Linked DNA regions of Mytilus edulis. The protein of the gene in region 1 interacts with the protein of each later gene in a biochemical or structural test. Links are inferred from orthologs where the notes say so. Each region holds a gene or a part of one and is shown in the gene's direction. Other genes may lie near its edges.

What was found. The genes of interacting proteins can lie anywhere in the genome.
Region 2: the proteins of protein TRC8 homolog (region 1) and COP9 signalosome complex subunit 5 form a complex in vitro, tested with the Drosophila melanogaster proteins (2 studies listed by BioGRID). The link is inferred for Mytilus edulis from reciprocal best matches to the Drosophila melanogaster genes Trc8 and CSN5.

Annotation. Positions count from the first base shown.
Region 1 is NC_092347.1:69,540,569-69,547,570, reverse strand, and holds the start of protein TRC8 homolog, read left to right. Parts: upstream 1-3,974; 5' UTR 3,975-4,020; coding exon 4,021-4,210; intron 4,211-7,002. Other genes in the region: RING finger protein 145-like, read right to left, coding at 99-267. UniProt on the Drosophila melanogaster protein: Plays a role in growth inhibition that is dependent upon COP9 signalosome subunits CSN5 and CSN6. May modulate signalosome levels or compartmentalization. Probably functions in the same or a related pathway to VHL during early midline development.
Region 2 is NC_092344.1:10,559,479-10,567,227, forward strand, and holds the start of COP9 signalosome complex subunit 5, read left to right. Parts: upstream 1-4,744; 5' UTR 4,745-4,855; coding exon 4,856-4,989; intron 4,990-7,749. Other genes in the region: brefeldin A-inhibited guanine nucleotide-exchange protein 1-like, read right to left, coding at 414-537. UniProt on the Drosophila melanogaster protein: Probable protease subunit of the COP9 signalosome complex (CSN), a complex involved in various cellular and developmental processes.

The DNA of each region.
Region 1 (7,002 bases):
ATAAAACAACTGGGGAAGAACAATATCATATGAAAGTAAAATAAATGATATGCTTTCTAGCTTAAGGGTTGCATCAAGCTGGTATTTTAAATACTTACTTAGATAATAAATAACTGTGATGATAAAAGTAACATCATCAGGTTGATTTGTCAAATTTTCTGGACTATTTCTGAACCATAACTCTGCCAAAACCAACGATGGAATCCTCAGAATAACTCCAACTACAGCCTCAACTTGTTCTCTCTGAACCTTCACCTGCCACATCATCAAATCTAGAATAAAATAACTAAGTTAAATAGTTACATTTGTTACCTTATATCTTACTTATAAGCATGATAAGGTCTTGTATTTACAAAATTATTTCAGTTGTTTTTTTTGTTAAACAGGCTTATCGTGTGATAAAATTTGAATAAGGACAATAAATTATTAATTACAAATGTCACTTATTCAAGTAGAGAATAAGAGGGACTGTATCAAGTTTTAACAAGTATGTAGCAAAATATTCATTTTTTTATTATGGGTAATACGGATACAACTAGAGGCTCCAAAGAGCCTGTGTCGCTCACCTTGGTCTATGTGAATATTAAACAAAGGACGCAGATGGATTCATGACAAAATTGTGTTTTGGTGATGGTGATGTGTTTGTAAATCTTACTTTACTGAACATTCTTGCTGCTTACAATTATCTCTATCTATAATGAACTTGGCCCAGTAGTTTCAGAGGAGAAGATTTTTGTAAAAGATAACTAAGATTTACGAAAAATGGTTCAAAATTGACTATAAAGGGCAATAACTCCTAAAGGGGTCAACTGACCATTTCAGTCATGTTGACTTATTTGTAAATCTTACTTTGCTGAACATTATTGCTGTTTACAGTTTATCTCTATCTATAATAATATTCAAGATAATAACCAAAAACAGCAAAATTTCCTTAAAATTACCAATTCAGGGGCAGCAACCCAATAACAGGTCGTCCGATTCATCTGAAAATTTCAGGGCAGATAGATCTTGACCTGATAAACAATTTTACCCCATGTCAGATTTGCTCTAAATGCTTTGATTTTTGAGTTATAAGCCAAAAACTGAATTTTACCCCTATGTTCTATTTTTAGCCGTGGCGGCCATCTTGGTTGGTTGACCGGGTCACGCCACACATTTTTTAAACTAGATACCCCAATGATGATTGTGGCCAAGTTTGGTTTAATTTGGCACAGTGGTTTCAGAGGAGAAGATTTTTGTAATAGATTACTAAGATTTACAAAAAATGGTTAAAAATTGACTATAAAGGGCAATAACTCCTAAAGGGGTCAACTGACCATTTCAGTCATGTTGACTTATTTGTAAATCTTACTTTGCTGAACATTATTGCTGTTTACAGTTTATCTCTATCTATAATAATATTCAAGATAAATAACCAAAAACAGCAAAATTTCCTTAAAATTACCAATTCAGGGGCAGCAACCCAACAACAGGTTGTCCGATTCATCTGTAAATTTCAGGGCAGATAGATCTTGACCTGATAATCATTTTTACCCCGTCAGATTTGCTCTAAATGCTTTGGTTTTTGAGTTATAAGCCAAAAACTGAATTTTACCCCTATGTTCTATTTTTAGCTGTGGCGGCCATCTTGGTTGGTTGGCCGGGTCACGCCACACATTTTTTAAACTAGATACCCCAATTGTGATTGTGGCCAAGTATGGTTTAATTTGGCCCAGTAGTTTCAGAGAAGAAGATTTTTGTAAAAGATTACTAAGATTTACGAAAAATGGTTAAAAATTGACTATAAAGGGCAATAACTCCTAAAGGGGTCAACTGACCTTTTCGGTCATGTTGACTTATTTGTAAATCTTACTTTGCTGAACATTATTGCTGTTTACAGTTTATCTCTATCTATAATAATATTCAAGATAATAACCAAAAACTGCAAAATTTCCTTAAAATTACCAATTCAGGGGCAGCAACCCAACAACAGGTCGTCCGATTCATCTGAAAATTTCAGGGCAGATAGATCTTGACCTGATAAACAATTTTACCCCATGTCAGATTTGCTCTAAATGCTTTGGTTTTTGAGTTATAAGCCAAAAACTGCATTTTACCCCTATGTTCTATTTTTAGCCATGGCGGCCATCTTGGTTGGTTGGCCGGGTCACGCCACACATTTTTTAAACTAGATACCCCAATGATGATTGTGGCCAAGTTTGGTTTAATTTGGCCCAGTAGTTTCAGAGGAGAAGATTTTTGTAAAAGTTAACGACGACGGACGACGACGACGGACGACGGACGACGGACGACAGACGACGACGACGGACGCCGGACGCAAAGTGATGGGAAAAGCTCACTTGGCCCTTCGGGCCAGGTGAGCTAAAAATAAAAGTCAACACTGCAGTCCTTAATAATTTTCAATATTATTAATTGGAGTGTTTCATTTTGATTTGTTGTTTTTTTGTGTCAATACTGATTAAGGACCACATCTTTTTTTTTAATCAACAGGGAGGATACATGTTGTCATGCTTACAATATTTTCAATTTACTCTTTTAAGCTAGATCCTATAGTTTTTGAAACAAAAGTAAATGTAAAAACTTTAAAAACTTTAAAAATTCAGGGGCAATAACTCCAAAATAGGTGTTAATATTTCAAAATTATTCATGGTAGATTATAATATTAGAACTTGTGGTAATGTGCTTAACAGTACTATTTCTCGAATTGTTTTAATTCGTAAATATTAGCCTAGACTATTCTTTGGCCCTATGACAGTCATCTGATGATGTTCATGTTGGTTCATCAAAAATCACAAACTAAGAAGAAGCAGAAAAACTCTGGTTTAAATCCATTGAAGTTTCAGAGAAGACTATTAAAGAAAAGTTTATGTATGACAAAAGGATGCAAAGTAATGGCAACAGGTTAACTTGCTCAAAAAAGATAACAGAAATATCAATCAAAATAATTTGACAAAACTAAGACCCCACCTGCTACCAGGAAAAATTTAAATAATAACAGTTGCAAAAATAGAATGGGTAGTTTCTGCAATGTATGTTGATAGGTATGAAGGATGGGAAATTTGAACTCTATATGGTAATGCACTTAAATGCAGTTTTCAAAAGTGGAAGCTAGGTCATATGAGTTCAGTGGACCGTGAAATTCGGGTAAAATCTCTAATTTGGCATTAAAATTAGAAAGATCATATCATAGGGAACATGTGTGCCAAGTTTGAAGTCAATTGGACTTCAACTTCATCAAAAACTACCTTGACCAAAAACTTTAACCTGAAGCGGGACAGACGGACGAACGGACGGACGAACGGACAGACGAACAGACGCACAGACCAGAAAACATAATGCCCCTCTACTATCGTAGGTGGGGCATAAAAATATCATAACGACCTATAAGGAGCTATCAGGATCACAGCTACCCCAGCATAAAATTGTTTAGTCACAATAGTTATGAAGGTGTCACAGACAAAAAATAAAATAGCCTTTCAAAATTATTTGGGCTTAGAAAAGTTAAGAATAAATTCAACATTGATTATAAAAGAGAAGTTATTGGGTCTTCCAGGAATATAGGACTAAATCCATGGGGACAATGCCAGCTGTCAGCTAGTTTCAACATTTTACAAGCACTGTCATTTTGGTATTTGATATGAAACAAAATCATATGATATAATGTAGGAATTTTAAACTATTTACTGTTGTTATATTATGGCCTAAGGATACTTTCAGGTGGTTGAAATTCTGCTGTCTGCTTTGATCTATAATTTACATTAATATACAAAACAAATGACGGATGAGGACCTGTTTATCTTTTGTATTCATTTTTTATTCTAACCTCAATTTTGTAAAACAAACTAATCTTCTTTTAAAAATTAACATTGATAAACAACTGTTTCATCTTAAGAACATAGTGAGTGATCTGATTTGATTACAAGCAGCCTGGATTAATAAATAGTGTTGTCTTCTAAGTGCTGCAAATCATCACTACAACGAGCAAGAAAACACCGGAAGTTAATATTTGACAGATCGATCATGTCGTATTTCGGAAAATTTAAACATTTTTCCAATGTTTTGATACGAATACCACCTCTATTTATTATTGATAGTTTGTTGAATGGTTCATTGTTGAAAGTTGTATACCAGAGTGTTCATCCAGAGTATAGTTTGTATCCAATAACCACATGGACACAGTTGTTTCAATGGCTAGCTACGTCTTTCACCAGTGCGTACAACTTGATACTGTTATACAATGTTTATACAGTTGCAATACAATGTCAACTAGTTATCTATTGTTTGTTTTTTTTTTTTTTTTTAAAGATATTTTCATACATCCCTTGTTTCTTTTGAAAATACTTCAAGGAAAAAATCACTTTGGAGATAAGTAAACATCTTTTAAAAATATGTTCAAGTTTAAAAGCTTTCTTTCAAGGCAGTGTCTGTGGGTAAGAATAGTCAAATTGCCATTCGTAGTCTATGCATACCCACATCCGGTGTTATAATAAAATACCATCGGATCGGAAATGAAATGTGCACAATAATTTTCAATAATATGGGGATTTCATGTACAACGAGTGAAGTGAATGAAAAATAATATTTTCAAATTGTATTTATTAGATAATAATACACAATAAACATTGCAAATTAAATGTACACTGAAGAAAAATGAAACTATACAGTCCCTGTAAAAGAAAAACATGATAAAAATTAATACATGTACATGTAATACTAGTATAAAACATGTAAAATGTAATTGCAAATTTAAAGAATTAAATTTTACTGGATTTAGAAAATATCCATATGAGATTTTAAAATAATCTTTAAGTAAAAATGTAAAACAAAAATGGAAATTTAAAAACTACTTAAATTAAAGCTTGGATGTCTATATAAAAATTAAAGAAGCAAGCAATAATATTTAATAATGTCAAATTAAACCAATTTTGTCCATCTTTAAATTAGTCACGCCAAGTCTAAAGTAGTCCGTGCCTAATTTCAATGTTTGTAGTTTGATATCTATTTATATATTGAGCAGTTATCTCATCTTATTAAAAACATTTATCATTTATATGTTTTGTAGTTTAGTGTGATTTTCCATTTTCTTTGAACTACTCAACTAGTACACATTTTGTCATGGGCCAGGCGAATCCTGCCTCTGTGTGTAGGATTTTCTTGCTGTGTTGAAGACCCATTGGTGGCCTTGGTTGCTTTCTGCTCTTTGGTTGAGTTGTTGTCTCTTTGACATATTCCCCATTTGATTTTCTATTCTCAATTTTATTTAAAACAAAGAAATACATAATAAAAGCAAGTCGTTACATAACATGATTAAATATAAGCATTCATGAAAGTAAATACAATATAAATGACATTATAAAGTTCACTTTGTATTTCTATGCTCAAATATTAGATTAGAAAAGTAAGCAATCATAGGTTGTATACAAAATGTATATATTTCAGTTATTTATGTTGAACATCTTCTTGCCTTTTAATCCAATCAGGAATGGTGTTTATTTAAGGTGGTTCATTGCATGGTTATATTACATGTATATATATAGATTTCCTCGATAATAGTTCTTCTTCTTCACCAGATTGTATATTTTTCGCATTTCCATGATTTTTTCAAAAATGTTATTAAAAGAATGGGTCATGTCCTGTTTTTCAAGCTACAAATCTTTTAAAGTTGCCCAAATTTGCAAAGATTGTTTGTGACAAAACACTTGTTTTGTTAATTGAAAGAAAGTTGTGAGATAAAATTTTGGAAATAACTTATAACTTGATAGGTTTTAAAATATATGCTTTAAGAAAATAAAAAGAAAAAATAGTGTCACCTTTTTTTCTTGCTAAAAGAAAAAAATGAAAATTTCTCCAACATTCACTGTCATTCCTTGATTAAAAAAATATTCAACATTTGAGTTATCTCCCCATAAAAGGCTAAGTTGACAATTTGTATAGAACAAACACAAACATTTGGTATTTGATTAGATCAATCTATATACATTGTAATGCAATAATTATAAATTACTTGTTTTTCTTTAATCAAAATATTAAAATGTTCTCTTTCTTAATTTTTTCTCCCTCAGCTGCTTAATCATGTTAATGGTGACCTCTATTTTTGTCACACTTGCAACACACAGAAAGCTGTCTAAGTAACTGTTATTCTGAATTGATTATAAGCAATAAGGTGTGTACGGTTCCTGTCTCATTAATGTATAGGCCATGTCTTCTTTTATTCAGATTTACTAAAAACACCATCAACTCTGTCTTTGACAACTAATTTTGAAAAAGATATAAAGGAGTACTACAATAATAGGACTAATTTAGTTTTTGAACAGCCACATTTGTGCTTGCGTGCATGTACCTGATAGGGTTCATCTGATCGTGACCTTATTTACAAACATTAATGATAATGTATTTAGTATATATATACTAGAACACACCTGTGATATCGCGGGTCCGTGGATGAATTAAAGTATATATCTATGCGTAAGCCTTATTTTAGTATTGGTATTGTCATCTGATAAAGTCATGTCAATTATAAGATACACAGTTTTCTCTGCTTTCAAAATCTTTGTTTGAACCCGTCAACCTGGAACTTATCAATTATTGGTAATATTAATTATTTGGAAAACAAAAGGTCCTGGAATGGAGTATTTTTTAATCAACAGTATTGTCCTATATTAGTTATAAATAAGGTTGAGTTCTTTTATTCGCTGTTTTACATCATGCCCGTTCAAAAATTGAAAACTGTACCTATATATACGCATTATCATAAAAGTCCAGATTTTTAGTATTCATATTGTTATGTAAGAAAGTCTTACTGATTAAAATACTACAATAGGGAACAATTTGACAATGATTGAATTTAGAAGGGTCAACCCTGTGATTATGACCCGTGTATAAAGCAAATCCTAAATACATCGTTTGGTGGTGCGCCTTTCAGATGCGGAACGTACAGATAAGATAAGGTAATAGGTAACAGGTGAATATACTATTCGTATCGGTATCGAATTCGACTCGGAA
Region 2 (7,749 bases), on another chromosome or scaffold:
TGACGTCATTAAGGTGTTCGAAATTGACGATCTTTTCCGGTGAAAGACATGATTCCAGATATGACCTATTGATCAACATGATCAGAAGTACATGATGATGTCACAGACAAGTAAAATCCTATGACTTATTAGGTAGCACCTGCCTCAAATAAAAAATAAATGGTATTTATGGGATATCATTTTGGTAAATTTTCTTCAATTGGTCAGAAATACTGGGTTCAAAACAAAATTTGCCTGTAGTGTATACATTTTTTTTGTACACTCACATCTGTCATCAGACATCACTCATCAGACAGACTATAAAACCTTTGCTATGCATAAAATTACGGATAATTTTTTTTCAACCATCATAACAAATAAGCATCGTAGACGTTAAATGACCCGAAATAGAATTCATGATGTGATTCACTTACCTAGTGCCACCTCACAGGCTTTTTTCAGTTGGGAGTGATGAGCTTTTTTTATTTCTTTGTCGCTCAAGATTTTCTCGAGAGCTCTTGTAAGGAACATTTCGTTTGGCCTGTTGCCTTTACGCATTATGCCAATCAATCGACATATCAAATAGAAAGGTTAAGTTATTTCTGTTGATGAACAAATGTTTCGTTGGAATACGGAACACCTGTAACAGTTGTCCACCATTCAAATCACGTGACCAAATGCCGACGATATATTCTGGTACCCTTTTCAGTCCAAAATAGATTAAGTTATTTACAGAATATGTCCGTACAGAACTATATAAGGAATGTCTAATAACATAAAACACATATAAAGGACAACATACAACAACTAATGTTATTTTTTTTAAATGAAAATCCCACCGGATACGTTTCAAACTATTTGTAAAAACGGCACGAGAGAGAGAATATAAAGATTCTATCACTGCATCAAAATTATTCATAAAACAGAAGGTGTACTAAAACTTAAACAAAAACTTAAATCCAAGGATTTGTATAGTAAGACTTACTATACAAATCCTTGTTAAATCAAAGTAGCAGGACCAGATCATAAATAATTTAAACCAGAGACATATATACACATGTATATATGTCTCTGTTTAAACCAAGACTTAAAAAAGAACTTTCACATAATTTGCACCGATACTTACCATCATGATGTGTGAAGTCAGTTAAAACAAAATTTGTTCCAGGCAGAGACATAGTCGAGTCACAGGGGTCAGATCTTGGACACGGTCTTTTCCTGCACTACATAAACGATATCCCAACTGGTCTTACAGTGCGGTTATTTGCAGATGACACCATAGTTAAATTGGAAATGAAATTCTGATGCATCTCTATTACAAAAAGATCTTGACAAATTGACATCATGGGAAACTACGTGGAAAATGGCATTCCACCCAGACAAATGTAATGTTATTTCAGTAACCAGAAATTAAAAAAAACCGTGACAAAAAAACAGTCATTATTCTACAGTCATTCTTTAGAACATGTAACAACAACAAAATATCTAGGGGTAACCACCTGCCTGCATTTCATGTAAATAACTTGAACTAATACTAGCTAGTAACATGATGAAACACCGTCTTGAAACAAATAAAATACTAAATGAACTACAACACGGACCCAGAGCAAAAAGATCATGTGAATCATAATTAATATCTCTTATACACCAAACTAGCTCAAAACAATGATAGAAATATACAAACTAATCTAGTAATTGTGGATTTTTTCAAAGCATTTGATAAAGTGCCACACACACACTTACTTTACAGATTAAACACTATAATACGACATTTCAGATCAACCAACTCAATGGATTAAATCATTTCTCAAACAGTCACTAAATATGCTTCTAATATTGCCAGTATGGCAGAACTTGGTCGTTATCCAATCTCTATATTTGTTATTTTGCAGTCTCTTAAATACTGGCTATATTTGTATAAAGACCCTCTTTTGAATTTTTCAAAATTAGCATATAAGTCAATCGAAGATGTTGATTGTACCTTTCCATGTACCTTAAATAAACACATTTTTCAGTTTCTAAAATTCATTCGTTTTGACCATGTTTGGAATAATAAAGGAACTATGTCAGAAGGAAAACTCATATCTGCAGTGAAAACGATATTACAAGAAAGATATGGCAATTATTTTTTCTCATGTTTGTCAGGTGAAAAGCAAAACAAACTACGCACATATTACAAGTTAAAAAGGAATATAAACCTGAGACTTATACAAAGTTAAATATCTCGAAACTATATATTAGACAATTATGTAAAATTAAGAATTTCTAACCACAATTTACACATTGAAAAAGGCAGATATAATGATACACCTTTGGATCAAAGAATATGTAAACATTGTATTGATAACAAAATTGAAGATGAGTTTCATTTTATATGTGAATGCAACCTCTATCAAGACGAGAGAGAAAGGTTTTATGATGACATTGTCAATATCATACCATGTTTTTGTAATTTAGATAATTTTGATAAATTTAAATATTTAATGAACTGTTCGGAGACTGGTGTTCTCAACAGATTTCTTATATATATAGACTAAAATTGAGAATGGAAATGGGGAATGTATTTTGATTAGATATTCTTCAGTGGGAATAATTTCATAATATTGAAGTGTGAGTTTTGTCTCTTGCTTATTATAAGTGTCAAAATTGTTGGCTGTTATGTTTTATTGTTGTTTTGTTTTGTATATGTTTTTATATGTGTTCATGTGTTTCAGCCGATGATCCTTTTGTACTGGATTTTATACTGAATAAAATTAGTTAGTTAGTTAGTTAGTTACTCAAAAACTCAACATCTGAAAAAAAATCCAATACATTATTCTCATTTGTATTAACGACTTACCTGACTACATAAAACACAGCCAGATAAGACTCTAAGCAGATGACAGGATTATTTACCGGCCTATTACTTGCCAAAACGATTGAATAAAGCTTCAGGAAGACCGTGAAAGTAACAGCTATAAAATGGGAGAAAGACTGGCTCATGTCATTTCACATGGACAAATGTTAATGGTCAGAGTATGTTTGACTGAAATAAAAACTCATCAAAGATATTTGTTGTAACATGTGTAATAAAGTATTGATTTGCTTAAGTTGGGTTTCCTAGTTATCCGGAGAAATCCGGAGTAAATTTTTTATAAAGATATATATAAGGGTCTAGATGAGGTTCTTCTTCTTCTTCCAGGTAAGGAACCGGATAATTCTGGCTTTTATTCAACAGACAAGAGAGACCTATTGACCATGTTGACGGTGTTTGAGAGCTGCCGCCGTGAATCTCTCAACCGTATTTGGGCCTCGATTTGCGCATACAATATTGTCTTTCAGTTGGTTCCAATGTATTATGCTCTTGACAAAACTCGAAAACTAATTAAAGTTTAAGTTTATAATTTGTACAAATCAGATATTATTTAATGAATGGCTATTATCCATTTTGAATTTATTGAACCATAAAACTAATTTTTGACTCTTCACATTGAATAATCCGCGAAGCGGATTATGTAAAATGTGAAGAGTCAAAAATTAGTTTTATGGTTCAATAAAATCAAAATAAATTATTGCCATTCATTATAAATAAATTTCTATAAAAAAAAATTAGGCTCAAAGAACTCTTTATATTAACAATAACAACGTACACACATGGCGTATGAATACACAATGTCAGAGTGGGCGTGTCACCATGAAAATTGACAACATTGAAAATAAAACTAATAATTTTAACCAATCAGAAGACAGTAAAAACACCAAATTTATTTATATACAGACTCTATTAGCAATAACTTTATATATACTAACTCTCACGTGCCTAGGAAATTACATTATTAAAGGTTTAGAAATAAGATCCAGATGTAAACAAAATATATGAAATAATATAATATTTTATTGTTATAACATTTAATATAATAGTTATATAAGACACATGTTGTGTCAGGCTCTGATCCTGTCAATAACGTTATAGTATGGTATTAGTTTTCTGTTTTGCTTTTTCCAATCATATTGTGTTGTAAAATGATGCCCTTTATGGGTTCTTGATTAGATTAATAAAATTCTTATCTTATCTTATCTTATATACAATGTAGGCAACTGACACTCCTCATAAAAAAAATAAAAATACATTTGTGTCTGTATTTTTATCTGTATTTTATTTTTCATTTACATGTTGTACTGTTAAATCAATCATCCTTAATCAGAACGATAGTTAGACATACGACATAAAGCTTTATTTAGAGTCGGTATAAGCAAGCAATTACAATAAAGATCTGAAGAGCTTTTAAAACCGACATAACAACAAGTAAAACAAAACATACATATCGAGTCATGCACACAAACATTAAACATATAAAGCAAGAGTTCATATCAGTATATAAACATGCAGCACAAAAGTTTGTTAAGCATCTTATAAGTTAAACACATACTGATACATGCAATTATGAGATAAAAACACAAAAGCACAAATAAAATGGTTGTATGTGTGAGTGTAACACTATGCGAGTGGGAGAGAAAGGCTTTTTATTTTTACTGTATATGATTACATGCTTGTTATGAGCCCTATGATTAGGAAATAAAATATCTTTATCTTTTATACCCATGTGATGTGATTGTCCAAACTTTACGAAGGGATTAACTGTCAAATTAATTCAGAATGACACATTCTTTTGTTATATTTCGTTGTGGCGATTTGTTGTTTGAAATAATGGTAGTTTAACTTTATCTTAAATGGTATCATAAGAAAACAATCTCAATAGACATTAATTCACATACCGTATAACGTACGGAAATCAGAAATATACAATTTTGAACCAGTATGTTGTGACTTTTGTATGGTTCCTTGTTTCTGAATTGACATCAGAATCCAGAATCAAGAATCTTAAAAAAAATAATCATGGATGCGAAAAATGCATTTAAAACTTGGGAAATGTCAAACAATGTTGAGAACGTTAACAGTATGGACGAAATATACAGATACGACAAGAGACAACAACAAGATATTCTTACAGCAAAGCCATGGGATAAAGAGTAATTGTCAATAGTCTGTTAAAAATTCTTCAAGTCAGCCAGTAATAGTTTATTAAACTGTGGAAATTTTAGTGATGAACAATGCAGATTTAATCATAAACATGCTGATATTCATCTCTTTTTCAATTTCAGAATAATTTGATTTTAGATATATATAAACATGATAAAACCATACTTTGAATGAAAATCATAAAGCTTCCTAAAAACTTGCTAGTGTCTTATTTTCCTTACACTCTATATATATCATGTATATATAGACTGCATAACAGAATGGACCTTATGGGTTTTTTTTCGGGAATCTGCGACACTTGACCTGAGAATATTGGTGACACTTAAACTATTATCAGGATTAAACGCCTTTTTAAAGGAATTTATTGGTGTATAAACTTGACCAATTCACTCACAAACAATGATATGTTTGTATTAAGGTGTATTATAGTGTTAAGCAGTCATTCCCAAAAAATGGGTACAATTACAAAATTTCAGTGTCGCCGGCAAATAACCACAAAATGCAAGCTTAACATATGTCACAGATAATCTTTTTCGTGTTCTAAGTGATTAATATGTATACTAAAATAAAATCATATTCTTTTGTGATGTATATCAGAAATATATTTGTGTGATTTTCTATTCAATATACGGAAATCACACGAATTCCGAATGTCGCCAAGAAAAACTCCAAATATCGGTGTGAATTAAAATACTTTATTTCATCTAAATCATGATTAGATTTGCTTTTTTTATTTGACACTATATTGATTTTTATCCACAAAAATATTTTAGAATCAAAAGTTATAATATACACTTTGATTTACCCATTAAACCAATGTCGCCGATAAACGTATAACCTACCGTAACGAATCTTTAGGTACAGTCAAAACATATTTATATGATTGGAAATCATGCCCAAAGTGACTTTAAGCAAAGTTGATACATCAAATTTTAAAATCCTGCCTTTAACTTTTAGTGCAATGAAACGAAAAATTAAAAAAAATCTTCTCTTTCTCTTTTTTTCGATTGTCGCATATAAGAATCCAACCTACGTAACGCGTATTTTGGAACGCACTTACCAAGAACAAATCAAAATGATGATTATTTCATTGAAAGCACCCATAAAGCTTCTCAATAATCAGTTTTGAGAAAGCAACTCAACAATATTGTTACATATTTCCATGTATAATGTAAATAAAACTAACCTCCGTTTAAATAACCTCCGTGACGCAGTTATTTACAGTTAAGTTGTCAGACTTTTTTATCAGTATCAGCGGCTGCCGACACTGCCGAAAGTCATTTTTGTAGCAGACATCATTTATTATAAAGAAAACAGACAAACAAAATACAGATTTTGAGAAAAAAAATGTTGTTTTGAGAAAGGTAGGTTAACTTGTTTTTTCCCTATTATGTGAACAACATTATAACGTTTAATAAACGTTATATCAGCCATTTTCTTAGATTTAAAATAGTCTACAACACAATTTGTGTAATTACGACGACAATCATAACTTTAACAGCGGTTTATGGCAAACATTTTCAAGATTATTTAGGACTCATCAATGTAACGGAGGTTATGCAAATAAAAAAATCTAAAGATGCATGTAAACACGATCATACCAATTGAAATTCTTCTACATTGTTATAGATACCAAATCAGTTCATCAATTATCACTAATAAATATCAAAAGGTGATGTCAATCATATCTACGACATCATTGATTTACGTTACGGAGGATAGAAATTTAAGGAAAAAAAGTTTTTTTTCTCTAACAGGACTTTTCTCTTTTTAGATAACGATTTACTAAGAAAAATGTTTAATTCTGTTGTCTTGTTTGTCATTTAATTCCAATATTTACATTCATTTATATGTTTGCTGTTGGTAAGAACTGGAATTGTCCGTTATGGAGGTTTTAAATGTCGTTACGGAGGATAGAAATTTTCGAAATGAAACTATTTTGACTCCAAAACTTCATAGTTGAGTATAATACATACATTATGGTGTGAAGGAAGATGACATTATCTGTATAGAGCTAATAAATTAAGTTGAAAAATATTCGGTTTAGGTAAAACATATTTTTGAGTGAAAGTTCATGAATCGTTACGGAGATTTTGACAAGAACAAGTTCATTTGACTAAAAGAAACATATAACTTGATAGAAAACAGTTTTTTTAGTTTGAAATGTCAATAAATTGTTTAGAAAAGCTAGCATTAAAGAGTTAAGTGTTACTATGTATCAGCATTCAGATACTGGTTTGATATCAACCTCCGTAACAAAGATGGGGGTGTGGATTAATACAAGCATAAAAAATACATACAAGTGATTCAAAACATAAATAATAGGGTTTTTCCTGGAAAGCTGTATTATGAAACTAAAATATTATACAGCATAACATTTCATTAGTTTAAATTTATTACTAAATAAGTTGTGAAAACTACTTATTTGAATTATTTTTTAAACACTATATTAATTCAGACCTTAAAATTGGTATATATATACAGAATAATACGTATAAATCAGTTTGCTATGGTGGTAAACGTAACCCATTTCACATGAGCCTGGATTTAAATCTTGTGTTTTTCTCTAATACAATTTTTAAGATGACTTTATACAACACTAACCTCCGATACGTTCATACTTACCTTGTCTTACAAAAAATGCTAAAACTAGAAAACAACTAAAATGGTGTAAGTAAAAATTAAAAAAATGACAGACTAGATATAGACACAGAAGAAAACAACACTCTCTCTCTGCTCAGTTGAAATTT